Rattus norvegicus: one gene and its partners. Each later gene encodes a partner of the first gene's protein in a complex. Links are inferred from orthologs where the notes say so. Each region holds a gene or a part of one and is shown on either strand. Other genes may lie near its edges. The genes, in order: Nup188, Nup214, Nup85, Nup98, Nup107, Ranbp2 and Cetn3.

Region 1 (3,500 bases):
ACATATAGTGTCTCTATGTAGCCCTGGTGGTCCAGTAACTGACTTTGTAGACTAGGCTGGTCTCAAACTCAAAGATCCACCTGCCTCTGCCACTGGAGTGCCAGGATTAAAGGCATGTACCACCATCGCTCAGCACCCCTCCCCCCCATGCTTTCATACATTACGTCACAACAAAAGCCCCTCCCCCCAACTCCTCTGAGTCCTCCTCCCCCCTTCTTCTCCATTTCCATTAAAAAAAGAGCAGGCCTCCCTCCCAGGCATATCAATTAGCACAGCATAACAAGTTGCTTTAAGACTAATTAGAAACTCTCCTATCAAGACTGGAAAGGCAACTGAGGCACCAGGAAAAAGATCCCAAGCAGGGAGCTGAGTCTCTGTGAGGCTCTAGGAGCAGAGTTAGCTGATTCTGCAGGTGGGCCATCTTTCTCCTGCTGTCCTCACCATGTGACCAGGCTTCCCTGCCTACTACTGCTTATCCTGTAGCGATAGTTCTGGAGTTTTGATTTCTTTAAACAAACAGAAATGTTTAAGAATGTGCTTTTGTTTTACTCCCAGGTGTGGAATATGGGGGTACTTCAGAGAGTCCACAGCCCCTGACTACGATTTGCCTTGTAGTCTGGCAGGGTTAAGGTTTGACAACTGCAGATAGTTTCTGCAGTTGTGTGGGACACTGGGAATCCTGGGGACTTTTCAGAGGGCATATAAATGCTACAGTCCCATAGGTGGGTTGTTGGGTAGTCGTGTGTAAAGAAGAAACAACAAGAAGAAATCAGATATTCTACGGCAAAGATCAAACTTGCCCCTAGGAACTTGTATGCCTCTAATCAGCAGGAAGTAGTCTAATGATAATGCTGCCTCCTGTCTGACCCCTGACTTTTTATTCAGGGATCTCTTTCCTGTCTATCCTTTCCTCTCTCCTATCTAGTGTTACAGGGTTGGAAGGGTAGAAGAAAAGGGGAGGAGAAGCAGCCAAAGTCCAGCTATAATATCTCTGGTGCCTGCAGGTATGGAACAAATATTTTAGTAGTCATGGCAGGGAGGGAGGGAGGGAGGAAGGGAGGGAGGGAGGGAGGGAGGGAGGGAGGGAGGGAGGGAATTAAGGTTCATCAGGTCAGTTTCCAGAAGGCAGAGAACAGAGGTACAACTTAAGAACTGCTGTTTGCTTGAACTCCTTTTCTTCCCCTAGAGAAGGGGCTCACTGTGTAGCTCTAGCTGTCCTGGAACTCACTCTGTAGACCAGGCTAGCCTGGAACTTTCGAGATTCACCTGCCTGCACAGCGAGTACTGGGATTAAGGCTGTGCACCGCCCCAGGCTACTGTTGTATTCGAAAGGCAGCAACATGGACATTCCCCTATCAGACAGGCAAGCCTTGCAGTGGTCTGCAGGCTCAGGGGTCTAAAGGCAGACTGCATGCTGGAGAACAAGTCAGACAGATGGGCAAGGTTTTTGGAATGAGGAGACCCATGCCAAGGTCCAATTGTAATTAAGTAAGATAAGGTCCAGATGCCTTGAGGAAGAACAGTTCAACACCACGTGCTATAGCAAAACAAACAGTGCCAAACCGAAAGATGCCAAGAATGGTGCAAACTCTTCCCAAACACCAGCTTTCTCTCTATGCTCACTGGTAAGGAAGGCACTTGCTGCATAAGCCTGATGGCCGGGGTTCACATAAAGGTGGGACTGACCCCCAAATCTGTTTCCGACCTCCACACATGTGCATACACTAATAATAAGTAAAAAATTTTAAGACTCACTATACAGTGAAGAGACAATGGCCTTCGTCCTTTTCCTAGAACCAACGGAAAAACACAGCACTCTAAGAGATCTGGGCCTACCGCAGCTGCAGCCTCAGATGAATCACAGACATCTACAGCATCCAGAAGGCACAGCCCCAGGGGCAAAGGTGCTCCCTAGACCTATCCTTCAGGCTATCTGACGGGTTTGGAACTGCTTCTGTGTCCTGTCCCCAAGCCTGCCCATCCTCATCTCTTGGCGTACAGTGTCTGCATTTCAGGGACGAACTCTGGTTTACTATCCTAGGAGCTGCACGAGCTAGGCAGCTCAGCAGATCACCGCTTCCCACTAAAGCAGAGCCAGGAGGCTGGGAGGCTTACGTGACTGGTAGCAACGATGAGAAGCGTCCTCCAGGCGGACACCAGCATCTGATACTCTAGCAAGGACGTGCAGCTGTTGCCCTCTGTCTCAGCCATGTAAACTGCCAGAGACTTGACGTACCCCGACCAGTAGGCAAAGCGTTTCTCACTGGAAAACTTCTTGAGTGTATCTTTTAATGACTGGTCCAATGAACCCCTATACAACATACAAACCAGAGTCAGGGTTCAGAAGTGCATGGAGCTGAGATGGGCACATGGCAGCCAGCTCTAGGGTCAGGTCCCAAGGAACGAGCGAAACTGAGGCCTTTTCAGAAAAGCCTCTAACTCCATCAAATCCCAGCAACCCAAAACCTACTGCACAACTCTTCTGACAGCATAAATGCCACCAGTGCCCTGGTCAGGACACTGACCCTCCATAAATGGGCCTGACCATCCTCTTGTGTGCCCTGCTTACCGACCACGCATTCTGTGATAGGTCCCCACCATCTCCCACCCCCCCATCTTTGGTTAAAATCCCATGGGAGGGGGCTAGGGACATGGCTCATTGGTGAAGCACTTGCTCAGCATGAAAATGCCCAGAGTTTGAGCCCTAGTACTAAATAACAACAACAACAACACCCCCGGAAGGGGGACGGACTCACTTAACTACATAGTAGATCTCCAAACATATTATCTTCATGATGAGGGCACAGGTTTCCAGGATGCTGGGCTGTGGAGGGAGGGAAAACACACCAATCACATGTAACAAACCTCCACACCCACCTGGTGCCAGAAAGGGCCTAACGCTCAGAAAACATTAAACTCTGCTTCCTGGGAAGCGAAAGGCAGAGGCCACTGGACAGGGCGCCGTGTCCAGTGTGGAGTTGCTAGAGCAACAGAGCAGCCATGTCCGTCTGTTTCCCAGAGGACAGGAGGCAAGCACTGCTCTGCAGATGGGGCTGCTGTAACCTGAGGCAGGGTCCTTTCCTTAATGCCTCTGCCCTGCCCTCCACAGAGCTCACCTCAGATGTCTCTGAAGGAGGAGAGAGAGTTCCAAACAGCGGACTCGTTAAATTCTCCCAAAACCTGGGTCTAGGATAAAAACACGTGTTGAGATGCCTCTGGTCCCCCATGCTGGTATTTTTTCATGCTTTAATATCCCAAACCTAAAATGTTTCTCATAAATCAATTATTCTTATGTAAACATAAAAAGTCCATAAATAAAACTGCATCTTCCACTTAACAAGTGCAATTGGGAGCCAGGCAGTAGCTGCACAAGTCTTTCATCCCAGCACGTGAGAGGAAGAGGCAGAGGCCAGCCCACTCTACAGAGTGAGTTCCAGGACAGCCAGGGCTACACAGAGAAACCACCTCAAAAAACCCAAAACCAAACCAACCAACCAACC
Region 2 (3,500 bases), about 1.7 Mb from region 1:
GATTGTGAAGTGAAGGAATAGTACCTAGCGTAGGCCACATTTCACTTTAAAGGAAAACAGAAACAATGCGCGTCCAATGGGTGAACTGGATGAGATCCATGAAAGGGAGGAGATGGAGCCACTCACAACTGTGGCATCACTGGAAGGACATAATGAGGGATAGATCAGAGTCAATCTTCTCCATTTACAGAGTCAGTATAATGAAGATAAATTACTTTTTATTTATTTTGTAGTGCTAAGGATTGGACACAAGGCCTCACACATGCCAGGCAAGCACTCTAACACAAATATTCCTAAACTGCTCATTAATACCACAAAAGAAAGGAAGCCACCGAGATGTCCCCAACCACCCTCAACAGTGGTTAAATGGGAAGTTCCCGTGCAGAGCAGTCACTCACAGGAAGATACTGGACCACAGTTCCATTCTGCTTTCCCACGGCCAGCTGCTTTCCTTTGGGGCTCCAGCATACTGGGGAGGAAATGCTGCCAATTAAAACACCCAAGAAAAGAAAGCAAGCCCTAAGGTCTAGACGGCTATACGATCACCACCAGGAAAGGCCATGAGAGATCCCCAGGCACAGTGGAGAAAGTACAACCACTTTAACAATACAAGCAAATCAGGACTTCCCAGCAGGCCGCTAACTGAGAGCTAAGAATGCTTCTCCAGCAGACTTTTGTAAGACAAGGAGAGTGGGTGTCTTTAAAAGATCAAGGAATCACTGTGTTGTTTCTATTCATTACTTCTAGTGCTTTATGGAGGTACAAATGACTTTCAGATGGCCGCTCTTTTAGACTCAGAAACAATTATTCTCAGTCTTAAATGAGCTGTGCCAAAATACTTCTTTATCTCGATAGCCCAGACACATCAAATGAACTCACGCATGCTGTGGGGCTTCAAGACCACTGACTATAGAAATAAAGAATATTCTCAATTTCTACCCACTCTCCACCCCCCAGCGGTCCACACAAAATTCAAAGCCTTCCACTTTACATGCAGAAGTTAATTTTTAATAGCCTGTACTTTATGGCTGGAGAGCTGCTTCTTACTCACCACACGTGACTCCCGATGAAGGAGGAAGTGTGGCGCACACTTTCACCACATCCGTAACTTGCAAGACAGAAATGCTGCCATCAGCCAGACAAACTGCTGCCATGGAAGGGACAGTGGGGTTCCACTTCATATCATTCACCATCCCGCTGGCACCGTTTGAAAGCTTGTGATAGGTAAATGGGCGTTTCAGTGGTTTAGCCTGTTAAAATAAGAGCCCAGATGCTAAATAAATTAATAAATTAATAAACACAAAGGCATTTAGGATTCAGAGGGAATGATGGAGTACGCATTCTTTCTTAAATCCAGCTCTTTATTTCTTCATAACCAACTCTGTATAGCGATCTATTTGTTACAAACAATCAATGAAACTTAGAAATGGCCACCAAGTACTCCAGCACAGAGGGACTGCTGGCAGGGATATGCAAATGCAAGAGTCAATAAATAGCAGGTAGAACACTAAATTCTTGGATCTGCTTCTTTTTTTTTTTTTTGGTTCTTTTTCTTTGGAGCTGGGGACCAAACCCAGGGCCTTGCGCTTCCTAGGTAAGCGCTCTACCACTGAGCCAAATCCCCAACCCCGGATCTGCTTCTTAATAACCTTAGCTAGGCTTTTTGATTTCTGTCTTGGTCTTTGGTGAGATGTTTTATTTGTTCTGTTTTTTTAATATATATTATTTATTTAATGTATGTGAGTACACTGTAGCTGTCTTCAGACACACCAGAAGAGGGCATCAAGTCCTATTACAGATGGTTGTGAGCCACCATGTGTTGCTGGGAACTGAACTCAGGACCTCTGGAAGAGCAGTCAGTGCTCTTAACCATTGAGCCATCTCTCCAACCCCTGTTTTGTTTTTTGAAGCAGGTTCTGGTTTACATGGCCTGGCCTAGCCTCAAGCTCACTGCTTTCCTGCTTCAACCTAGAGGCCATCAGTGTGTGCCAGCATGCTTGTCCATGTAGATCTCTTTGAAATCTGCCTTTCCATCTGTAAAATGAAGACAACTGTCTCTACTATGGAAAACATGGGAAAAAAACACATCATAAAATACCTAATCCCAAGAAGACCATCGTTCTACACTGCTACTGAACAACCTGCCTGGACCAAAGAATCCAACATCAGGAGATCCTACATCACATGGGCAGACCCTCGACCCTCTCACCATTAGCTCCATGGCTTCTCACAAAGCAAATCTCTAAGAAGCCTCATCACTTGATAGCCTTGTGTGTAAATGAGGCATGTTAACTTTGTACAGGAAAAATTTTAATTTACTAAAATAAATAGTTCTATCTCAAAAACTTATGAGTCTATATTCAAGGAGTATTTTTGTAACCTCTATTTTTTTTTTGTTTTTTTGTTTTTTTCGGAGCTGGGGACCGAACCCAGGGCCTTGCGCTTGCTAGGCAAGCGCTCTACCACTGAGCTAAATCCCCAACCCCGTAACCTCTATTTTAATCCAGAAAGGTTTCACACATTAACCTGAAATACAGCTTTTTGGTCCAAAGGAAACTCCAATTCCAAACTCCAAAAGACTGTCTCCTCTATCCAGAATGAGCTCAACCTGGACTAGAGAAGGACTGCTGGTGGTTAGATAAAGGACAGCCTCCCTTGGGAACTTGTAAACTAGTTCCCATCTCCCAAAAGGAGTCATGTCCCTTCATCTGAAGGGACATAGTCTATTAGCATCTCAACGCTCATGCTGGCCTCCAGGCTCCTTCTGTATCACAAGTACCCATCAGAGTCCATGCTCCTTCCTTACTCTATCCCCTCCAGCTCCCCAGGGTCCCTCCCCAGCTACTCATTCTCACTGCAGCCTGCTACTCTTGCCAGGCTCCCCACCTCGCCTCACTGTGTTGTCTCTGTTCTCCAGTTCCTGCTGGTCTCCTCTTCCACAGATCCTGGCCACATCCACTCTGATGGCCATCATCAGTCTACTGCGCTCTCTCTCTGCTCTGGACGCTGCCAAATTCCTCTGAGAGTTTGCTGTCTTATATCTACAATAACGACATTCCCCCTCACCACAGCATGGAGCAGCCATGTCATCGATTTATACACCTTCCAAGTTGCAATGCCCATGAGGGAATTCCTGCTTCCATGTTGAAAATACAGTTTACAGTAGCCTACCTGATTTGAAAATGTGCGAACATCAAAAAAGGCTATAATGGAGCCATATTCACTGGACATCATGCACGCAGAGAGTGTAAGGTTATCACAGCTCAGTGCCAGGTGATGAACTGGGAATTTCATAGGGACATTCAAGCCTTGGATTGTGTCAACTATGAAAGCAAAAAACACAAAGCAGAAAACAGAGTGTAATAGGCACAGTCATAATCCTTTAATCAAGTCAACCTGAAACACATTTTCATCTATGTAAACATATACCTGTTGGGTATAGATAAAAGAACTTGTCTTAAGAACTGCCATTTTAAATTCAGACTCCATTTTACCTATAG
Region 3 (3,500 bases), on another chromosome or scaffold:
CCTACAGCAGGAGTTCCCACCAGGCAGCCCAGCAGAAGATGTCAGATAGGGAGATAAAAACCTGCAGAATGCTAACACTGGTGATTTTATTTTAAGGTGAATTAGAAAAGTAAACTAGCATATCACACGGATGCTCTTGATGGATTGTGGGTTAAGAAGGCGCCTCATTTGAGTAAAAAGAAAAGGTAATTTTGAGAAAGTCTGTCAATAAGAAAAGTAAAACAAAATTGGGAAGTTAGAACCAGGACAGTGGCCCACACACCTTAAACCTGGCACCCAGGAGACCTAGACAGGAGCACCAAGGGCTCCATGCCTGTCTGGCCTGTAATCCCAGCACTCGGAATGGAGGGGATCAGGACTTTAGGTAGATAGGCCAGTCAGTCAGTCAGTTAGTCCATATGCCAAGGACTGAAACTTAGGAAAGAGGCTATTAAAGGCTGCGCCAGATGCTAAAGAAGATCTCAGCAGTGAAGAGCACTGGCTGCCCTGGCTGCTCTGGCAAAAGGCCTTGGTTTGATTTCCAACAACTATCTGTTACTCCAGTTCCATGATACCTGCTTCTGACCTCTGCAAGAACAGCACAACACAATGCACAGACATGCAGGCAAAATACCTCTACACACAAAAGAAAAGTTAAATTTAAAAAAGAAAAACAAGGGGTTGGGGATTTGTCTCAGTGGCAGAGCACTTGCCTAGGAAGCGCAAGGCCCTGGGTTCGGTCCCCAGCTCCGAAAAAAAGAACCAAAAAAAAAAAAAAAAAAGAAAGAAAGAAAAAGAAAAACAAAAGCAGAGACCAGGGCCAGGTGTGGTAGCTTATACTGTAAAGCCAGCATTCAAGCTTCTACAGTAGAAAGATAACACAAGACCACAGCCAGCTTGGGCTACAGACTGAGACCCTGTCTCAACAACAACAGACAGCAGGAGATGGCTCTGTAGTTAAGAGAATCTGGAGGGGAGGGGGATGTTTGCCCGGTAACCGGGAAAGGGAATAACACTTGAAATGTATATAAGAAATACTCAAGTTCATAAAAAAAAAAAAAAGAGAATCTGCTGTGCAGACATGAGAAGCAGAGTTTGGGTGGCAGCACACGTGTAACAAGCTGGAGACCTGAGCACACTGAGGCCTGAGTTACAAAGGGAACAGAGAAAGGAGGGTCCCCAAGCTTGCTGGCGTCCAGCCTAGGCAAGAAGCACAACCCCCAGGTTCAAAGAGAATGAGCAGAGTGAGAGCAGACATTCAGCACCGTCTTCTGCCTCCACAGGTGCACTTCTGCATGCACAGGTGCACTTGTGCACACACACACTCAATAAACACACACGCAATACAGATATGTTTTTAACAGGAGACATCGACTGAGGTTCTAGCCCAGCAACAGTGGACATACTTAGCACACCTACGATACTAGAGCCAAGACCAGGCACTGCAAAAACTGAAAGAGCAAAGGCTGGCTGCTATAAGATGCTCCCACTAAGATAAAGGAGACCTGGACCCTGCCTTTAGGAAGATGGACATCCCCACGTCACCCTCCTTCAGTTCAGTCATCACCAGCCCTTGCTCGAAGGGAAAAACACACTGTGCCTATCAGAGACAGTGTATTGTCCCCTGATCATTAGTTAGAAAAGCACTGGGATCCTACTAAGGAAAGAGTGTCATATATGTCAACTTCTAGCCCTGCTCAATTATAACCACTTGCTGCTCAGCAAAATGTCGAGTTCATGAGACTGAGCGGCAGTCCTAAAAGCTCGGTTCTCCATCTCACATGACAACTCACAAACACCACGTGTTAGGACTCATCTTTCCACAGGAAATGAAAACCCAGTATTTATCAAGTAGATCCTGTGTTCCCACGGGCTAGACCTTGACGGGAAGACCAACTTTTAAAGCCACACTTGCCATCCCAAAGAGCTGCTGGTCCACCTCGAAAGGAGAGCCTCCTGTAACAGTGACCACAAAGCCACCCTAGGCACTAGGGACACAAAAACCACAATGTTGCCAATACAATGAGAACAGCTACCTCTTACCTGACTGCTGAACTGCCGGCCACTGGCTGGGTCTTTAGCAGCAACTAGCAGAATACAAAACACCTTAGGTCAATCAACTGAACTGACTGTATCCCGCCTCCTCTGCCCTCAGACCTCTCATGACTCCTGCTGTTTCTTCCACCACCACCCCCATTTCCATGTGATCACTGATGCATCTATCACATATCAAAACGAGGCCCTGTTACACACTGCAGAGCAGCCTCCTGAAAGGCCACTGGAGCAAACAGCACCAGACAATGTACTTCAGTTATACACAGGGTCCTTACTTGCAACCTGGTGCATTTCTTCCATACAGGCACGTATAACTGACCGGTAATTTTTACTCACTCGAACCAATCTACAAAAAAATGAAATGACATAGGAGATGACATCGACCATATCTTGATGCTAGAAAGAGAAGAATCAAAAGGAGACGGCTGGACTGTTCTTGCAGGAACAACCAGATTTGGTTCCCAATCCCCACATCAGGTGACTCACATGAACCTGCAACTCCAGTTTCAGGAGATGTGAAGTGCTCCAGTATATATAAACTCACACACACACACACACACACACACACACACACACACACACACACAAACGGCTAGAGATCTGTCACAATGATTTTAAGAGAGCGTAGTACTGTTGGAAAGGGCCAGAGTTCAGTTCTCAGCACCCATATCAGGTGGCTCACAACTACTTTGGTTCCAAGAGATCCAATGCCATCTCCTGGCTTCTACAGGTACCTGCACAATGTGTACACACACACACACAGTTAAACATAAACCACGCCTGGTCTGCATGGACGGCTCAGGCTGAAAGCACTGCTGTTGTAGTCAGGCCTGTGGCATATTTTCTCAGTTGGTAATCGATATGGGGGGGGCCACCCCTAGCTGGGGGTCCTGGATGCTGTAAGAAAGCAAACCCAGGGGTTGGGGATTTATCTCAGTGATAGAGCACTTGCCTAGCAAGCGCAAGGCCCTGGGTTCGGTCCCCAGCCCCCCCACCCCCAAAAAAAGAGAGCAGACCCAGCAAACCACAGGCAGTAAGGCAGCATGCAGCTCTCCATTGCTCCTCCACAACTGCGAATGCCTGCCCCACAGAGCCCGGAGTGCAATGCTCCCAAGCACTGATGAAAGCACACCTGGCAGCCGTGTCCATGATCCCAAGCTTGAGAAGTGGAGGCAAGAGGACCAGAAACTCAAGAATACAACGGATTTGTACACACACAGGCTGAATCAGCAGAGCACACACAGATTTGTACACACACAGGCTGAGTCAGCAGAGCACACCCCGGGTGTTCGAGGAGACCCAGCTTCACCTTCATCTACTTACGGAGCTCAAGCAAAGGACACACCGAAGAAATAAGTGAATAAATAAATAGGAAAGGAAAACAAATCCTAGCCTGGAGGTCAGGCCCAGTGACGTGGCTCAGCAGCTGGGCGCTCAAAGGAAGCAAAACAAATTCTGATTCCTCG
Region 4 (3,500 bases), on another chromosome or scaffold:
AGAGTCCAGTTGGGACCCCAGCCAACCCGAAATGAACGTCCCATGAATAAGGCCATGTCCATCAAGAGTTTTCCCTTGCCATATGTAATGGATTTTTCAAGAGGGACTAGGCCTGGTTGCCTGCGTATCCCCACTGTTTTTAGGGGAACTTCAGGGGCTGGGCTGGGCACTGTGAACACAGTGGCCAGGGGTAGAGGGACAGACCAGGGGGATGTGGATGGGACGTTCATTAGAGATGATGTTCTGGGTGTGCGACATTCTTGCACGGAGGCACTTGGTGAAAGAAAAGTTCCACTTGCAAATTTTGATTGGAGCAACCCACCAACTGAAACAAGGAGGAAAAGACACTTAACAACCCAGTTTGCTTCTTCGCTAAAGATGAAAATTTTCAGACAGATTTTTATAATAATCACTTTTCTTTGAAGACAAGTAGCCTAAGTCCTATGAAGACCAGGCTAGCCTCAAGATTATTCCTCCTGAGTGCTAGGATCAAAGGTGTGCACTAGTTGTTTTTCCAGATAAGATTATTCTGTATAACCTGGCTGTCTTGGGACTCACCATGTAGACCAGGTGGGCCTTGAACTCTGCCTCCTGAGTGCAGGATTAAAAGTGTGTGCCACAATATTTATATAAAAATTTTAAATTATGTATATGTTTGTGGGTATGTCAACAGGACTGTAGCTGCCTGTGGATGCCAGGTGTCCCACGTTCTGGAAGCTGGAGTTACAGGTGGGTGTAAGCTGCCTGATGTGGGTGCTAGGAACCAAACTTGTGCTTTCTCTAAGAGCAGTATAAGCTCCCTACCACTCAGCCATCTCTTCAGTCCACAATAATCACCTTTTCAGCTACGAAATCAAAGCAAGGACTTTAATGATTTTATAAAGGAGAAACAAAAACAAGAATCTTCAAGGATTAACAACAATATTAAAGACAATTATGTGTACACTTCACTTTTCAGTAACATTGATCGGGAAGTGTTATTGCTGCTCACATTAAAACTGAGGAAACTGGGCTTAAAAAGGGGGCCTTTCTAAGTCCATGGCACTATCAAGTGACGAGACTGGGTAAAACTGTTCCTAAGGGTCATATCCTTACTGAAATCCTATATGCAATAAAACTATCTTTAAAATGATGGATGCAACTGGAGACAGCAATTTACAGAGAACTAGATCAGTTCCAAAAATACAAATATTGCATGTTTTCTCTAATTTATGGGTCTTAGATATTGCACTTTCCTGATATTATTTATGTACTAATGACATGAAAGTAGAAGAAAACTTGTATGGGGACCAAGAAAAAGGAAAGGGTAAAGTAAGTAGCTATAGGGGATGGAGACTGAGCTAAAAGGACATTGTAACGGCTAGAGAGAAGGCAGCCCATCAGTTAAAAGCACTTCTTACTCTTGCAGAGGACCTGAATTTGATACCCAGTGCACACATGGTGGCTCACAACTTTACTTTCAAGAAATTTGACACTTTCTGACTTTTATAGGCACTGCATGTACCTGCCTTACATACTTGCATGCAGAGAAAAAAAATCAATACACAGATAAATCTAAAAATTTTGAGGATATTATATTTGCACAAATATAGCCTTATATATAAGTAAAATACAAAAACAGCTGGGGGTGGTGGCACATGTCTTTAATCTCAGCATTCTGGAGGAAGAGGCAGGCAGTGAGTCTGGGGTCAGGCTACACAGAGACCCTGTTTTGAAAACCCAACCACAAAAACCCCAAAATAAACAAAAACCCGAACAAAATAAAACCACAAAACTCAGATAGATTAAAACTGAAGTCCTGGGCTGGAGAGGTGGCTCAGCGGTTAAGAGCACTGACTGCTCTTCCAGAGGTCCTGAGTTCAAATCCCAGCAACCACATGGTGGCTCACAACCATCTGTAATGGGATCTGATGCCCTCTTCTGGTGTGTCTGAGGACAACTACAATGTACTTATATATAATAAATGAATAAAATCTTAAAAACAAACAAACAAACAAAAACAAACAACCCCCCCCCAAAAAAAAACCCCGAAGTCCTGACATTATGAACTTAAGGAGAGGTAAGAGGACAACTTTAGGGAGGTGGTTCACTCTCTTTACAAGGTGGGTCCTAAGAATCAAACTTGTATCTTTACCTGCTCAGCCTTCTTGCTGTTCCTTATTTACCTTTTCAGAAAACATTAACAAAATTTAGTTCTTCAGCTTTCAAAGTATTTTGAATTACAATTGCCTACTCACTGATATCAATACTCCACAACCTTTTTTTTTTGACATTTTTCAAGAAAAAAAAAAAAAGTTTTTCTGCCTGCATGCCCGTGCACCATGTGTATGTAGTATGTGAGGAGGCCAGAAGAGGGCACTGTGTATCATGGACTGGAGTCACAGATGGTGTTGAGAACCCAGACTCACTGGAGAGCAGTCAATACTCCTAACTGCTGAGCCATCATCTCTCCAGCCAGTACTCTATAAAGTATAATCTGCAATCCTAGTAAGAAAAGGGAAAGTTTTAAAATTTAATATGTGATTACCCCACAGGGGTTTTCAAAGGTTTAGGGAAAAGTAGATACTTGAAGTTTACTATCAAAAAAAGCAGTAAGATAATGTAAGGACTAAATAAAAGGAACATGGTCAACTTGTGGAATCTAAGTATTGTGGTAGAGTTTAGATTAGAGCTTACTATGTAATCCACACTCACAAGTGACTAAAACAGGGCTCTCACTCAATGAGACAACTTTAGGGAGGTGGTTTACAAGTGGTTTCCCAATAAAGAGGTACTTATGATGCTTAAAACCCTGCCATGTCAGCACTTTTACCTTTTCTGTTTTAAAATGTGTGTGCATGTGTGCATACATGGAAGTCAGTGGACAACTTCAGGAAGTAATTTCTCTCCTTCCACCATGTGGGTTCTAGAGATCATCAGTTCATCAGGCTTGATGGCAAGTACTTTTTATCAGCTAAGCTAATTCACTGACCCCACCCCCCTTTTTTAAGAAATTATTTAGTATGTATGCCTGAGTGCTTAAGTGTATGTATATGTATATACACCATGTGTGTGCCTGGTGGCCAGGAGGCCATAAGAGGGTGTCAGATCTCTTGAAAATGGAGAAGAGAGGGTTATTAGCTACCATATGGTTTCTGAGAACTAAACTGGAGTCTTCTGCAAGAACAAGTATTCTCAGCTGTTGAGCCAAGCTCCTTGGGTCCTGCTATGCTGTTCTGGGTAACCTCAAATTCACAGCAATCTCCCTGCCATAGATGGTAGGAAGAGGATAGTATGTATTTAAAAAAAAATTATGCCTATTGTTATAGTTTTCAGAGGTTCTGCTAAAGAAATCCATTCAGCTTAGAAGGAGAAATATGAAAAGCAGAATCGAGCTGACAGTGTCCTTGGAACCAGCACATTTTATACTGTACCTATGGAGCGGGATTTTGAGGAGTGGGAGGCTGAAATGGGGAGTCTAGGGGAGCAGATCTCCTGAGCAGTGTCTCCTCTGGAAGGGA
Region 5 (4,227 bases), on another chromosome or scaffold:
GTTGATGTAAAGTACAGTTCCTTGTTCATAAGCGTTTGGATAACTGGAACTGTTATTATTTATGCTTAACTCCTCATACTGTAGCTAAATATTCTATTAGGAAATTGTATAAATGCCAGCTGGAATTATGACTACTATTATTAAATACTTTCAAAGCATAAATGAAATCTTACAAGGTTGTCGAAATGAGCTTGGAGTTCGAGGAATAATCTGGCTTCTTGGTGTAGTAGTACCAAAATTTTCATCTTGGTTGGCCTGAACTTAGGAAGAATTAAGGAAAGTTTTCCATGCAGAGAAAAAAAAGTCGTTAAAGTTAAGCACAGATTTACTACACAATATACATGAATACATTTCTCCAAGAACAAAGCATTTTATGGGTACCACCTTTTCTGTACACCGTTGTTAAATCCATCTATCATTTAAGTTCTCAGGTGGGTGTTAGATAATAAGTTTTGACTCTAGTTGACTACTAGGACATACTGGTAGTGAAGCAGAACATGCTTTTCAGAGAAACAGGCATCTTGAACTCACGGACGATCACGGAGAGCATGGATGTAGCAAGTAAAACACCAGTGGAGGTGAGCCAGTTTTGTCACAGATAATGTTTAATGACTGGAAGATCCCAGGCACTCTGCAATCTGCATAATTCTTACGTGAAGGATACTTAAAACTCTTTTGTGAGCACTATGCTTCCGTGCAGTCCTCGTAACCTCTGGGTCTCGGATCACAGGGGATGACATTCCCCCGAAGCCACTCCTACAATAGTATAAATAATCTCTTAGATGGCATCTTCAAAGGACTATCGTTACAGTTAGAGCAAAGGATCTGAATCAGTCAGAGGACAGCTCACCCCAACAGGCAAGTCTTCTATATTTTCCCAACAATATCCTCTTGTTTCTAAGTCCTGTTTATTCCCCAAAATCCCACCCAGTGTTCAGCTACGAACCCTTCAAGTAATTTTTTTCCATGTAGACTAAGGATGTCTCCAACACTGTCATCTGATGGTTTAAAAACTAAACCGTGGGGGTTGGGGATTTAGCTCAGTGGTAGAGCGCTTGCCTAGCAAGTGCAAGGCCCTAGGTTTGGTCCCAGCTCCGAAAAAAAAAAAAAGAAAAAAAAAAGAAAAAAAAAAAAAAAAACTAAACCATGGGGGTTGGGGATTTAGCTCAGTGGTAGAGCGCTTGCCTAGCAAGTGCAAGGCCCTAGGTTTGGTCCCAGCTCCGAAAAAAAAGAAAAGAAAAAAAAAAAAAAGAAAAAAAACTAAACCATGGGGGTTGGGGATTTAGCTCAGTGGTAGAGCGCTTGCCTAGCAAGTGCAAGGCCCTAGGTTTGGTCCCCAGCTCCGAAAAAAAAGAAAAGAAAAAAAAAAAAAAAAAAACTAAACCATGTAGCTTTTTTTCTAGTATACCTTTCTTCCACCTGAAATCTCCCGCTAGCTTCCTCTGCCTTACAGACTGAAACTCACACTTTCCAGTGTAATATTTACAATTCCATCCCAATTTAGCCTGGCCCACGATGTTCGTCCAGACATACGGCTGTGAGCATTCAGCCACACAAGCATGAACATTTTTCATGACTTTATATCTGAGTATGTTTCTTTTACAGAGGTCTATATTTGTTCCCCTGTCACCTGATGTACATCTACTTAAGTTAAATAACAGCTTTATGGAGATATAACATTCCCAGCTGGTAATCTGTTTCTCTCTTGCTCTTTGCTCTTTTTTTTTTTTCTCCCCAGAACCTAAGGCTTACTATGCAAGCACTTAACCACTGAGCCACCACTGAGCAGTATTCCCAGTCCCATAACTTGGTACCTTAATCTCTCACAGGCTTACTGCTCTCTAACAAAAGAATGACACTATATCCCTAGCCGCATAACTTGGCTCTATTTAACTATGTAGTTCCTTAAATCTCTTACAGGCTCACTGTTCTGAATAGATAAAATCCTCAGGGGATTGTTTAAAACTAAATGTGCTACTTAAAGCTTAAGGAACACACATAAGATTAAACCCTAGCACAATGTTTTCAGTGTCAATATGCTATTATTACTCCAAAGACCAGCTAGCAAGTTACTTTACAGGTTTCCCTGAAACTCCCACGACAGGGGGAATTTAACGTCTCCTTCATTTATTTTCCCCGCAGTACAGCATAATACATCGTATTACATTGCTTGGCTGTCTTCACTACACGATCTACTCTCCAATGCCAAGTGCCTTGAACAACCCATCTTTGTCTCAGGCGGGCACAAATCACCTGATCACATAAGAAATTTAACTACCTGGTGGTGGCACTTTAAAAGTCTAGGCTGACCACCATGATACCCAATAATGTACAACTGATACGAAATAATAACCACAATAAAACCACTCAGAAAATCTGGAGACTGAGCTGTCAAGAGTGGCTGATGGCTGTGACCTCGGACTGCTCACTTAGCATTTCGAATGCCGGACCACCACCGACCCCGCACACTTCGGAGCGAACGGCGAGGAGCGAGCGCCGACGAGACCCCGGAGGCGCGGGGTGGAACGCGGGGATACGCATTCTCTGCGTCCCCGCTCCAGTCACGTCAAGCGCCCATCCCTCCACCAGGGGCCAAATCCTGGCAGGGTGAAGGAATGACTGAATGGGCAGACCTCGGCTCCTCCTCCGCTTCCAGCAGAGGTAGTTAGGTCGCTAACAGGCGAGAGCCACAGTCTTGGCCGAGGCGTCCCCATCAGGACTGACCTGTCCATGGCCGCAGCCGTCTCCACCTAGATAGAACCTTGCAACTTTGATTACAGTCCAGCCACCGCGTTTCAGCCTTCCCGCTCTCCGGAAGCAAACCCTTCGACCCGGAAGCACCGCTCTGGCTAAGCCAGCCCCAAAGAACGAATTTTTCTTATTCGGCGCATGCGCAACTTTCGTCTACTGTCGCAGGTCCAGTGGCGCAGGCGCGGAAGTGTGCCAGTGCGTGACTGCGTGGCTGGGCGGTGTTGCCAGGCAGGAAGGGGGCGGGAACGAGGGCGGAGTCTGAGTGTGGTGAGGAGAGGGAGTTGTGGGCGTGGTCTGGGTGGGGGCGTCCTTCTGGGAAGCCGGAAATCTGTAACCTGGACTGAGGAATTTGTTGTAAAGAGTCTGGCCTCAGCGTTCCGGTTTGCGGTTCTGCGCCACTCTACAGGATCTGGCCTGGCTCGTGGCGCTCGTCTCTTTCCCTAAACTGTGGTGTAGCCTCACTGGACGGGTTTTGAGGTTGTTTCCTATTGTAATTTATTTCTCTTTTACAGTATCAGCCGTTTTTTTAAAAGAAATCCAAAAAGAGCAAAGCATAAAAAAACCACATGGGTTCACGGCCTGTAATACCAACATTTGGGGAAGTTGAGGCAGGAGGATCACCATGATTTTGAAGCAAGCCTGCACTAAGAAAGCCTGACTATTACTATTATTATTATTATTATTATTATTATTATTATTATTATTTTAAATTTTAAAAGTTTTGGGGGTGAGGATACTTACTCATTCCAGCACCTCAGAGTGTTAGGTCTCAGGCCCTCCAAATGTCTAGAAATGAGCTCTAGCTGAACCATAGGATTTCTGGCAGTTAGATAAAAGCCAGCATTACTCAGGACTTTGTGAAACGCGTTTTCCATTGGTCTTCTTAGCTATTGACCTCACAATCCCGACTCTGCACTAATTTCTATGTTCTGTTCTCTCATCTCGATCACAAAACTATCTTGAAGTGCTCTAACAGGCCCAGGCATTGCAGACACAACACCAGCAGGTGTGACCCTCTCCCATAGCCTCTCCCTTGCTAAACCGTTAGATTACATTCCTAAACCTACCCACCAAGGTCTCTTCCCTTATTTGGCCCCTTATGCCTGACTAAAACTCCAAGGTCCAACTATCAAAATCCACTAACTGGCTAATGTGTCCACTCAGGACTTACCAACTCACCCTAACAGAGTCTTTTCTCCTTAAAGACCACTCCTGCAGAGGAACCTGCTGCTTTCTTTGGCAGACCTGGAGGGAACACCTTTTCCTTTGTGCTGAGAATTTGGTGTCCTGGTGTGTTCTGTGCTGACCCCCAGGCTACTTCCTATCTCCTGCTAATGAGACTTTTCCTATCTCTGGCTTCCCCAGCCCTGGCTGTGTCCAGTTTGTTTCTCTTTTCTCTGTTCTGGACACTTCCAGGTGCCTCTGGATCTTTGCGCTCTCACTCACATTAAAACCCTTGTCCCTAATGGAGCAGTC
Region 6 (3,500 bases), on another chromosome or scaffold:
TAACTCAAATTTCAAATCAAATGACGGTGACTTCACATTTTCATCACCACAGGTAGTGACACAGTCTCCTTCAACAGCTTACAGTAACAGTGAAAGTCTTTTAGGTCTCCTGACCTCAGATAAACCTTTACAAGGAGATGGCTATAGTGGACTAAAACCAATATCAGCTCAAACTGGTGGGTCTCGGAATACATTCAGTTTTGGAAGCAAAAGTACACTTACAGAAAACATGGGCCCAAATCAGCAGAAAAATTTTGGTTTTCGTCGAAGTGATGATATGTTTACTTTTCACGGTCCAGGAAAGTCCATATTTACAACACCTACTTCAGAACTGGCAAATAAAAGTCATGAAACAGATGGAGGAAGTGCTCATGGAGATGAAGAGGATGATGGTCCTCACTTTGAGCCTGTGGTACCTCTTCCTGACAAGATAGAAGTAAAAACGGGTGAGGAAGATGAAGAAGAATTCTTTTGCAATCGTGCAAAGTTGTTCCGTTTTGATGGTGAATCCAAAGAATGGAAGGAACGTGGGATAGGCAATGTAAAAATACTAAGGCACAAAACATCTGGTAAAATTCGCCTTCTGATGAGACGAGAGCAAGTATTAAAGATCTGTGCAAATCATTATATAAGCCCCGATATGAAACTGACACCAAATGCTGGCTCAGATAGATCTTTTGTATGGCATGCCCTTGATTATGCAGATGAATTGCCCAAACCAGAACAGCTTGCAATTAGATTCAAAACTCCTGAGGAAGCAGCACTATTTAAGTGTAAATTTGAAGAGGCCCAGAACATTTTAAAAGCCTTAGGAACAAATGCCTCTACAGCAGCAAATCATACTCTTAGAATTGTCAAAGAACCTGCAACTCAGGATAACAAGGACATTTGCAAATCTGATGGTGGAAACTTGAACTTTGAATTCCAGATTGTAAAGAAGGAAGGGCCTTTCTGGAATTGTAACAGCTGCTCGTTTAAGAATGCTGCAACTGCTACGAAATGTGTATCATGCCAAAATACAAAACCAACGAATGGCAAAGAGCTCCTAGGTTCACCATTAGTTGAAAATGGCTTTGCTTCTAAAACTGGCCCAGAAAATGTTCAAGATCGATTTGCATTGATGACTCCAAATAAAGAAGGTCACTGGGATTGCAGTGTTTGTTTAGTAAGAAACGAACCCACTGTATCTAGGTGCATTGCATGTCAGAACACAAAGTCTGCTAACAAAAATGGGTCTTCCTTTGCTCAAACTTCTTTCAAATTTGGCCAGGGAGATCTTTCTAAGTCTGCTGACAGTGACTTCAGGTCTGTGTTTTCTAAAAAAGAAGGTCAGTGGGATTGCAGTATATGCCTAGTCCGAAATGAAGCAAGCTCTACAAAATGTGTTGCTTGTCAGAACCCAGCAAAACAGGCTCCTGTCTCATCACCTGCTTCTTTTAAGGCTGGCACTTCAGATGTAAGTAAAACTTCAAAGAGTGGATTTGATGACATGTTTGCTAAGAAAGAAGGACAGTGGGATTGTAGTTTGTGCTCAGTGAGAAATGAAGCAAATGCTGTAAAGTGTGTTGCTTGTCAGAATCCAGTTAAACCCAGTTCATCTACCACTGTTACAGTACTTCCCTCTTTCAAGTTTGGTACCTCAGAGATGACTAAGCCTCCCAGGAGTGGATTTGAGGGCATGTTCGCCAAGAAGGAAGGACAATGGGATTGCAGCTTGTGTTTTGTCCGAAATGAAGCAAGTGCTTCTCAATGTATTGCTTGTCAGAATCCAAATAAGCAGAATCAGCCTACATCTGCTGTATCAGCTCCTGCCTCTTCAGAGACAAGCAAATCTCCAAAGTGTGGTTTTGAAGGCTTGTTTACCAGAAAGGAAGGCGAGTGGGAGTGTACTGTTTGTTCTGTACAAAATGAGAGCTCTTCCCTAAAATGTGTGTCTTGTGATGCCTCCAAGCCAACTCATAAGCCTATTGCAGAAGCTCCTTCAGCTTTCACAGTGGGCTCAAAGTCACAGTTAAATGAATCTGCAGGAAGTCAAGTGGGAACAGAATTCAAAAGTAACTTTCCAGAAAAGAATTTTAAAGTTGGCATATCAGAGCAGAAATTTAAATTTGGGCATGTGGATCAAGAAAAAACACCCTCCTTCACCTTTCAGGGTTCTTCTAATACAGAATTTAAGTCAATCAAGGATGGATTTAGTTTTTGCATTCCTGTATCTGCTGATGGGTTTAAGTTTGGCATTCAGGAGAAGGGAAATCAAGAGAAGAAGAGTGAGAAACATCTTGAAAATGATCCTGGTTTCCAAGCTCATGATACTAGTGGTCAGAAGAATGGTAGTGGTGTGGTCTTTGGTCAGACAAGCAGCACCTTCACCTTTGCAGATCTTGCAAAGTCAACTTCAAGAGAAGGATTTCAGTTTGGCAAGAAAGACCCTAATTTCAAGGGATTTTCAGGTGCAGGAGAAAAATTATTCTCATCACAAAGTGGCAAAGTGGCTGAGAAAGCAAATACTTCTGATCTTGAGAAAGATGACGATGCCTATAAGACCGAGGACAGCGATGACATCCATTTTGAACCAGTAGTGCAGATGCCGGAAAAAGTGGAACTTGTAACAGGGGAAGAAGATGAAAAAGTTTTGTATTCTCAAAGGGTGAAATTATTTAGATTTGATGCTGAGATAAGTCAGTGGAAAGAAAGAGGTTTGGGGAACTTAAAAATTCTCAAAAATGAAGTCAATGGTAAACTAAGAATGCTGATGCGAAGAGAACAAGTACTAAAAGTTTGTGCCAATCATTGGATAACCACTACGATGAACCTGAAGCCTCTCTCAGGGTCAGATAGAGCATGGATGTGGCTAGCCAGTGATTTCTCAGATGGCGATGCTAAACTGGAACAATTGGCTGCAAAGTTTAAAACGCCAGAACTAGCTGAAGAATTCAAGCAGAAATTTGAGGAGTGTCAAAGACTTCTCTTAGACATTCCACTTCAGACACCCCATAAACTTGTAGATACTGGCAGGGCTGCTAAATTAATACAAAGAGCTGAGGAAATGAAGAGCGGACTGAAAGATTTCAAAACATTTTTGACAAATGATCAAGCAAAAGTGACTGAGGAAGAGAACACAAGTTCAGGTGCAGATGCTTCCAGTGCCTCAGACACTACAGTCAAGCAAAACCCTGATAACACTGGGCCCGCCTTAGAATGGGATAACTATGACTTACGGGAAGACGCCTTGGATGACAGTGTCAGCAGCAGCTCAGTTCATGCTTCTCCATTGGCAAGCAGCCCTGTGCGGAAAAACCTCTTCCGCTTTGGTGAGTCAACTACAGGATTTAACTTCAGTTTTAAATCTGCTCTGAGTCCATCTAAGTCTCCTGCCAAGTTGAACCAGAGTGGAACTTCAGTTGGCACTGATGAAGAGTCTGATGTTACTCAAGAAGAAGAGAGAGATGGACAGTACTTTGAACCTGTTGTTCCCTTACCTGATCTAATTGAAGTATCCA
Region 7 (4,300 bases), on another chromosome or scaffold:
ACACTGGACAGGAAGAACTCATGCTATGTGGAGGAGGGGAGCAGCAGCAAGAGAACAGTGGGTTAGGGAATGAGCTAAAGGAGGACCTCAAGACTGAGGCCAAAGCTTCAAAGTCTATTATTACTTTTAAATAGTCTATCATCTCGCTACATAGATTCTACCCCTATAATGTTAAAACTACTAAATGAACTTTTAAGGGTACTTAAAGAGATCAAAATGTGATCCTTCTTACTAGGCTGAACGTGAGAAATGTGTTCATAACCAATTTCCCCTTCCCTCTTTACTAGTAATTAAAGCCTTGGGTAGGACATTTTCCTTCTGCACGTAGCAACATTAGGCATCAGACAATTTATATCCTTTGTAACAGAGAAGAGTGTACTCTAAGAGTGTGCTAGTATTATCTTAAAAATTAAAAGTCAATCTCAAATGTCTGAGCAAAGTCAATGATCTCTCCATTTCAAAACTGTCAGTAAGAGTTCTCGCCCTAAAATCTTGAGGACCAGAGTTCAAATCCCCATCACTCATGTAAAGACAGGCATAGTTGTGGAGACAGCAGCGATCCCCAGAGTTCACTCTCAAGTGCTGAACTTCCAACTCAGGGAAATAGCCTGTCTCAAGGCAGTGGAGTAGAGTGATGGAAGATACACAGGCCCTATTCTGCCCACCACATGATACACAAGGGGATGTACAGGCCAGCAGGGGCACATGCATATGCCAAAAAATTTTGTTTTGTTAAAAATCTGAGCTATATCATCACACAGAAGAAAACAACTGTAGGAAGAACATGCTAAGAACTGTCCCTTTACTGGGTGAATGGAAAAGTTAGACTTCCCATCAAGATGCACTCTTACACTTAAATACAAGGTTCTAGAAGCCATACTCCATTTTTACTCCGTTTTCTTGTAGCACCTGTGGGTGGGCACTACAAACAGCCTCACAGTTCTGAAACAAGCTTCTAAAGTAGACTTTAAAGCAACAGGCACAAACGCAATTGAGTTAAACAAAAATGGATCTTAAATACCCTGTTACCTTTAATTCATGATAATCTATGGCTTGGTCTTTGTCGGTATCAAACAGTTCAAAAGCATCTTTAATTTCTTGCTTCTGTTCTTCAGAGAGTTCTCTTCGTTTTTTCCTTTTTGTTTTGTCTACTACAAGCTCACCTCTAGGACACAGAAAAATGCCTTTAGTCTACTTTAACCCAACTTAGGACAAAGAATCATTTTCTAAATTTCAACAGAGTAGTCTGGCACATAAAGAAACTGAGCCTAAGTTAACGTCCTGTAGTCCAAATGTACTTTTATAACCGAAATCCTAATCAAAGTTGAAAGCATCATACATATTATTCCTGTCATCTACCAAGAACATAAAAATAACCAAAAAAAAAAAACATACAAAAGTGAAATTCACAAATGACAACCAACTCACAATTACTACAAAAATCATCCATAAAACTTAAAAGATTACTTTAGCATTCTAAGTCCAAAATGTTTTTAGATTATACATTTCTAACAGTGCTTTGTGGTTTTATTCCACTGATATTAGCCAGGCAAACTATTAAAGGGCCTAAACATGCAAATACTAGGCGCCCAGAATCGCAGCATCTAATACTCGTGCTTAAGTCCACGACGTGATGTTTAAAAGTGTTTTAACTCTCACTTAACATGTAAACGATAGGTTAGACGTCTTCATTTAAAAACTCTGAAGTTTAAAGGAAATCTAAAAAGGGCACTTGGATCTGAAAATGTCTGCCTTAAGAGCTGCCAATGCAAAAAGCAGTCCAAATGTTTAAACGAGGATACGACACAACACGTGTATCAGCACGTTTTAAAAGATGGAAGCTTTAAAACCTCAAAATCTTAAAACTCGGCTGACTGTAACAGCGTCTCGTCAGGAACGCCCTCCGGGTGGACCAGACGTGGGAGATCAGTGCTGAGCGGGTGACGGTGGCAGCCAGGAATCTTTCTCACGTGACCCCAGCTCACACACACACACACACACACACACACACCCCCAGGCTAATGCGCGGTCACACACACACACACACACACACACACACACACTCGCCACACACCCACCCCAGGCTAATGCGCGGACACACACACACACACACACACTCGCCACACACCCACCCCAGGCTAATGCGCGGACACACACACACACACACACACTCGCCACACACCCACCCCAGGCTAATGCGCGGTCACACACACACACACACACACACACACACTCGCCACACACCCACCCCAGGCTAATGCGCGGACACACACACACACACACACACACACACACTCGCCACACACCCACCCCAGGCTAATGCGCGGTCCGGGGGCGCCTTTAAGTGTAGATGGACAGGGTGAGGAGCCAATGGGGAGGGGGGATGTCCGGAAGTGACTGGAGGGTGTCACGGAAACGAGATCCACCCAGGACGCCCAAAGCACAGCGTGCCACGGGACCCGGGCAGAAAGGCGAGCTCTCCTGTGACTTTCCGGAGGAAGCAGGCGGCCAGGCCCGAAACCCGCAGATGCGTGAGGGAAACCTCGCGAGACTTCACTCGGGGAGCGGCGCTGTGGGAGGCGGGGACCGCCGAGGTCTGATGCTCGGCACTCCTCGTCCGCTCCCGACTCGGCCTCCCTTCCACGCCCTCCCTGGCCCCTCTGGGGAACGGAGGCGCGGCCTCCTCGTTACCGACCTCAGAGCTAAACTCATTTTCTCTTCCGACAGAGGTGTTCCGCTCAAGGACTTTACCACGAGAACCGCTCAACAGCCACCAACCTCCACGGCCTCGGGGACCACCCACCTGACAGAAGTTTCTGGGTGCGATTGGCCGAAATTGCCAACAGCCGGCCCATTGGGGCGGAAGCGTCGATTGTCTTCTGTTTCCATTGGTCAGCATTCATGTCAGTCAAGTACACATTTCGCCCTGCTGTCTGTCTGACCCCTTGGATTGGCCAGATGCTTTCCTGAATCCTTTGCGCGCCTGTTAAGTCACCACGCGGGGTTCAGGCAGGCAAGGCTAGGCTCTACGGGTGACATGGTGCTGGAGTTCCGAGCACGCGTGCACAGCGTCGACCGAAGGAAGGGGAAGAAGGCACGGCACAAGCAGCCTGCTCAGACGGAGCAGTGATTGAGGAACCAGGTCTACAAAAAGATGTACAATTCTGGGTGGCTGGTACACCCGAGAAACTTAAATCTAAAGGTGATGTTCTCCAATCTTAGTTCAGTAACGACCAAGCTAAGCATTCTTCCCCGTACAGCTTTCCCAAGTGATTTTAAGGCAGACTGGATTAGTCTTTTCATTTTGTTGTTTTGTTAGGTCATGTACAGTGAGACTACCTAAACCATCCTTTTCTTCTGTGCGACTTGCAATGTATTTGTTTGCTTCTGCTCTTCACTTTCTAGTGCTGTAAACCTTGTGTGTGCATTCTATCTCCACTCCCCACCAAGCCTCTTGAAGCTTACTTCGATCACCAAGCTGCTAGACCGACTGTCCTCAAGGCCACAATTCCGTTTACACGAATATTTGTACCAAATGAAATATCTGGAACTTAGGTGTTCCATAAATACTTGATGCGTAAAACGAAGTCTTATTGTGGAAAACTTGGAAACTCCTGAGCTAACCAAGCAGTTCTTATAGGCATAAATACAATAAACTGGGGCTAGGTGTTAGAAAAGGGAAATACTATATCTAAATTTGTATGTGAAGGAAGGACACTGGGTAATTGGCTGTGTATGAGTTAAGCCTGGAGTGTAGATAGAAATTTGACTAGAGAGTTGGGATAGAACTAAAAAGTAATAGCTAAATGGTAGCATTCCCAAAACCAAAGTAGAGAAATGAAGAACTTGCTGGGCGTGGTGCTACATACTTTTAATCCCAGCACCCAATAGACATACAATCGGATCTCTGAGTTCTTTACATTGTGAATTCCAGGCCAGCCAGGACTAGTAGTGAGACTCTGCCTAAAATATAAAATTAAGTACTTTTATTTCTTAAATATTTAATGTTAACTATTTAGTGCACAGATATGAAGTTAAGTTAAACATTGTACAATTACCAGTGATTCATAAGTGACTGTTCTGGAGGCTGTACATAGATCATAGTGGTATGATAGGTAGAATAATAGCTAAGGCTACATCTTGGTATCCTGAAACCATAAATATGGTACCTAATAGGGGAAAAGATGTCTACGAGTCAAATTAGAATCCACACCTTGAGATATAATGTTAAAATGGGTCATGAGAGGGAACAGAGTCTAATCACAATGTCTAATTCTGACGAGTACAGGACTTTTACCCA

The links.
Region 2: Nup188 (region 1) and Nup214 share a complex: the UniProt entries of both Homo sapiens proteins name them as parts of the nuclear pore complex. The link is inferred for Rattus norvegicus from reciprocal best matches to the Homo sapiens genes NUP188 and NUP214.
Region 3: Nup188 (region 1) and Nup85 share a complex: the UniProt entries of both Homo sapiens proteins name them as parts of the nuclear pore complex. The link is inferred for Rattus norvegicus from reciprocal best matches to the Homo sapiens genes NUP188 and NUP85.
Region 4: Nup188 (region 1) and Nup98 share a complex: the UniProt entries of both Homo sapiens proteins name them as parts of the nuclear pore complex. The link is inferred for Rattus norvegicus from reciprocal best matches to the Homo sapiens genes NUP188 and NUP98.
Region 5: Nup188 (region 1) and Nup107 share a complex: the UniProt entries of both Homo sapiens proteins name them as parts of the nuclear pore complex. The link is inferred for Rattus norvegicus from reciprocal best matches to the Homo sapiens genes NUP188 and NUP107.
Region 6: Nup188 (region 1) and Ranbp2 share a complex: the UniProt entries of both Homo sapiens proteins name them as parts of the nuclear pore complex. The link is inferred for Rattus norvegicus from reciprocal best matches to the Homo sapiens genes NUP188 and RANBP2.
Region 7: Nup188 (region 1) and Cetn3 share a complex: the UniProt entries of both Homo sapiens proteins name them as parts of the nuclear pore complex. The link is inferred for Rattus norvegicus from reciprocal best matches to the Homo sapiens genes NUP188 and CETN3.

What each region holds. Positions count from the first base shown.
Region 1 is NC_086021.1:34,002,812-34,006,311, reverse strand, and holds part of Nup188 (nucleoporin NUP188 homolog), read right to left. Parts: intron 3,187-3,500; coding exon 3,117-3,186; intron 2,825-3,116; coding exon 2,757-2,824; intron 2,312-2,756; coding exon 2,116-2,311; intron 1-2,115. UniProt on the Homo sapiens protein: Component of the nuclear pore complex (NPC), a complex required for the trafficking across the nuclear envelope. Required for proper protein transport into the nucleus.
Region 2 is NC_086021.1:35,655,879-35,659,378, reverse strand, and holds part of Nup214 (nuclear pore complex protein Nup214), read right to left. Parts: intron 3,324-3,500; coding exon 3,172-3,323; intron 1,251-3,171; coding exon 1,052-1,250; intron 470-1,051; coding exon 399-469; intron 1-398. UniProt on the Homo sapiens protein: Part of the nuclear pore complex. Has a critical role in nucleocytoplasmic transport.
Region 3 is NC_086028.1:101,308,435-101,311,934, reverse strand, and holds part of Nup85 (nuclear pore complex protein Nup85), read right to left. Parts: intron 2,381-3,500; coding exon 2,310-2,380; intron 2,067-2,309; coding exon 2,023-2,066; intron 1-2,022. UniProt on the Homo sapiens protein: Essential component of the nuclear pore complex (NPC) that seems to be required for NPC assembly and maintenance. As part of the NPC Nup107-160 subcomplex plays a role in RNA export and in tethering NUP96/Nup98 and NUP153 to the nucleus.
Region 4 is NC_086019.1:165,930,367-165,933,866, forward strand, and holds part of Nup98 (nuclear pore complex protein Nup98-Nup96 proprotein), read right to left. Parts: coding exon 3,414-3,500; intron 326-3,413; coding exon 1-325. UniProt on the Homo sapiens protein: Plays a role in the nuclear pore complex (NPC) assembly and/or maintenance. NUP98 and NUP96 are involved in the bidirectional transport across the NPC. May anchor NUP153 and TPR to the NPC.
Region 5 is NC_086025.1:55,281,410-55,285,636, forward strand, and holds the start of Nup107 (nuclear pore complex protein Nup107), read right to left. Parts: upstream 2,801-4,227; 5' UTR 2,733-2,800; coding exon 2,725-2,732; intron 757-2,724; coding exon 665-756; intron 261-664; coding exon 174-260; coding exon of another isoform or gene 149-173; intron 1-148. UniProt on the Homo sapiens protein: Plays a role in the nuclear pore complex (NPC) assembly and/or maintenance. Required for the assembly of peripheral proteins into the NPC. May anchor NUP62 to the NPC. Involved in nephrogenesis.
Region 6 is NC_086038.1:27,016,314-27,019,813, forward strand, and holds part of Ranbp2 (E3 SUMO-protein ligase RanBP2), read left to right. Parts: coding exon 1-3,500. UniProt on the Homo sapiens protein: E3 SUMO-protein ligase which facilitates SUMO1 and SUMO2 conjugation by UBE2I. Involved in transport factor (Ran-GTP, karyopherin)-mediated protein import via the F-G repeat-containing domain which acts as a docking site for substrates.
Region 7 is NC_086020.1:13,823,591-13,827,890, reverse strand, and holds the start of Cetn3 (centrin-3), read right to left. Parts: upstream 2,801-4,300; 5' UTR 2,713-2,800; coding exon 2,696-2,712; intron 1,166-2,695; coding exon 1,030-1,165; intron 1-1,029. UniProt on the Homo sapiens protein: Plays a fundamental role in microtubule-organizing center structure and function. As a component of the TREX-2 complex, involved in the export of mRNAs to the cytoplasm through the nuclear pores.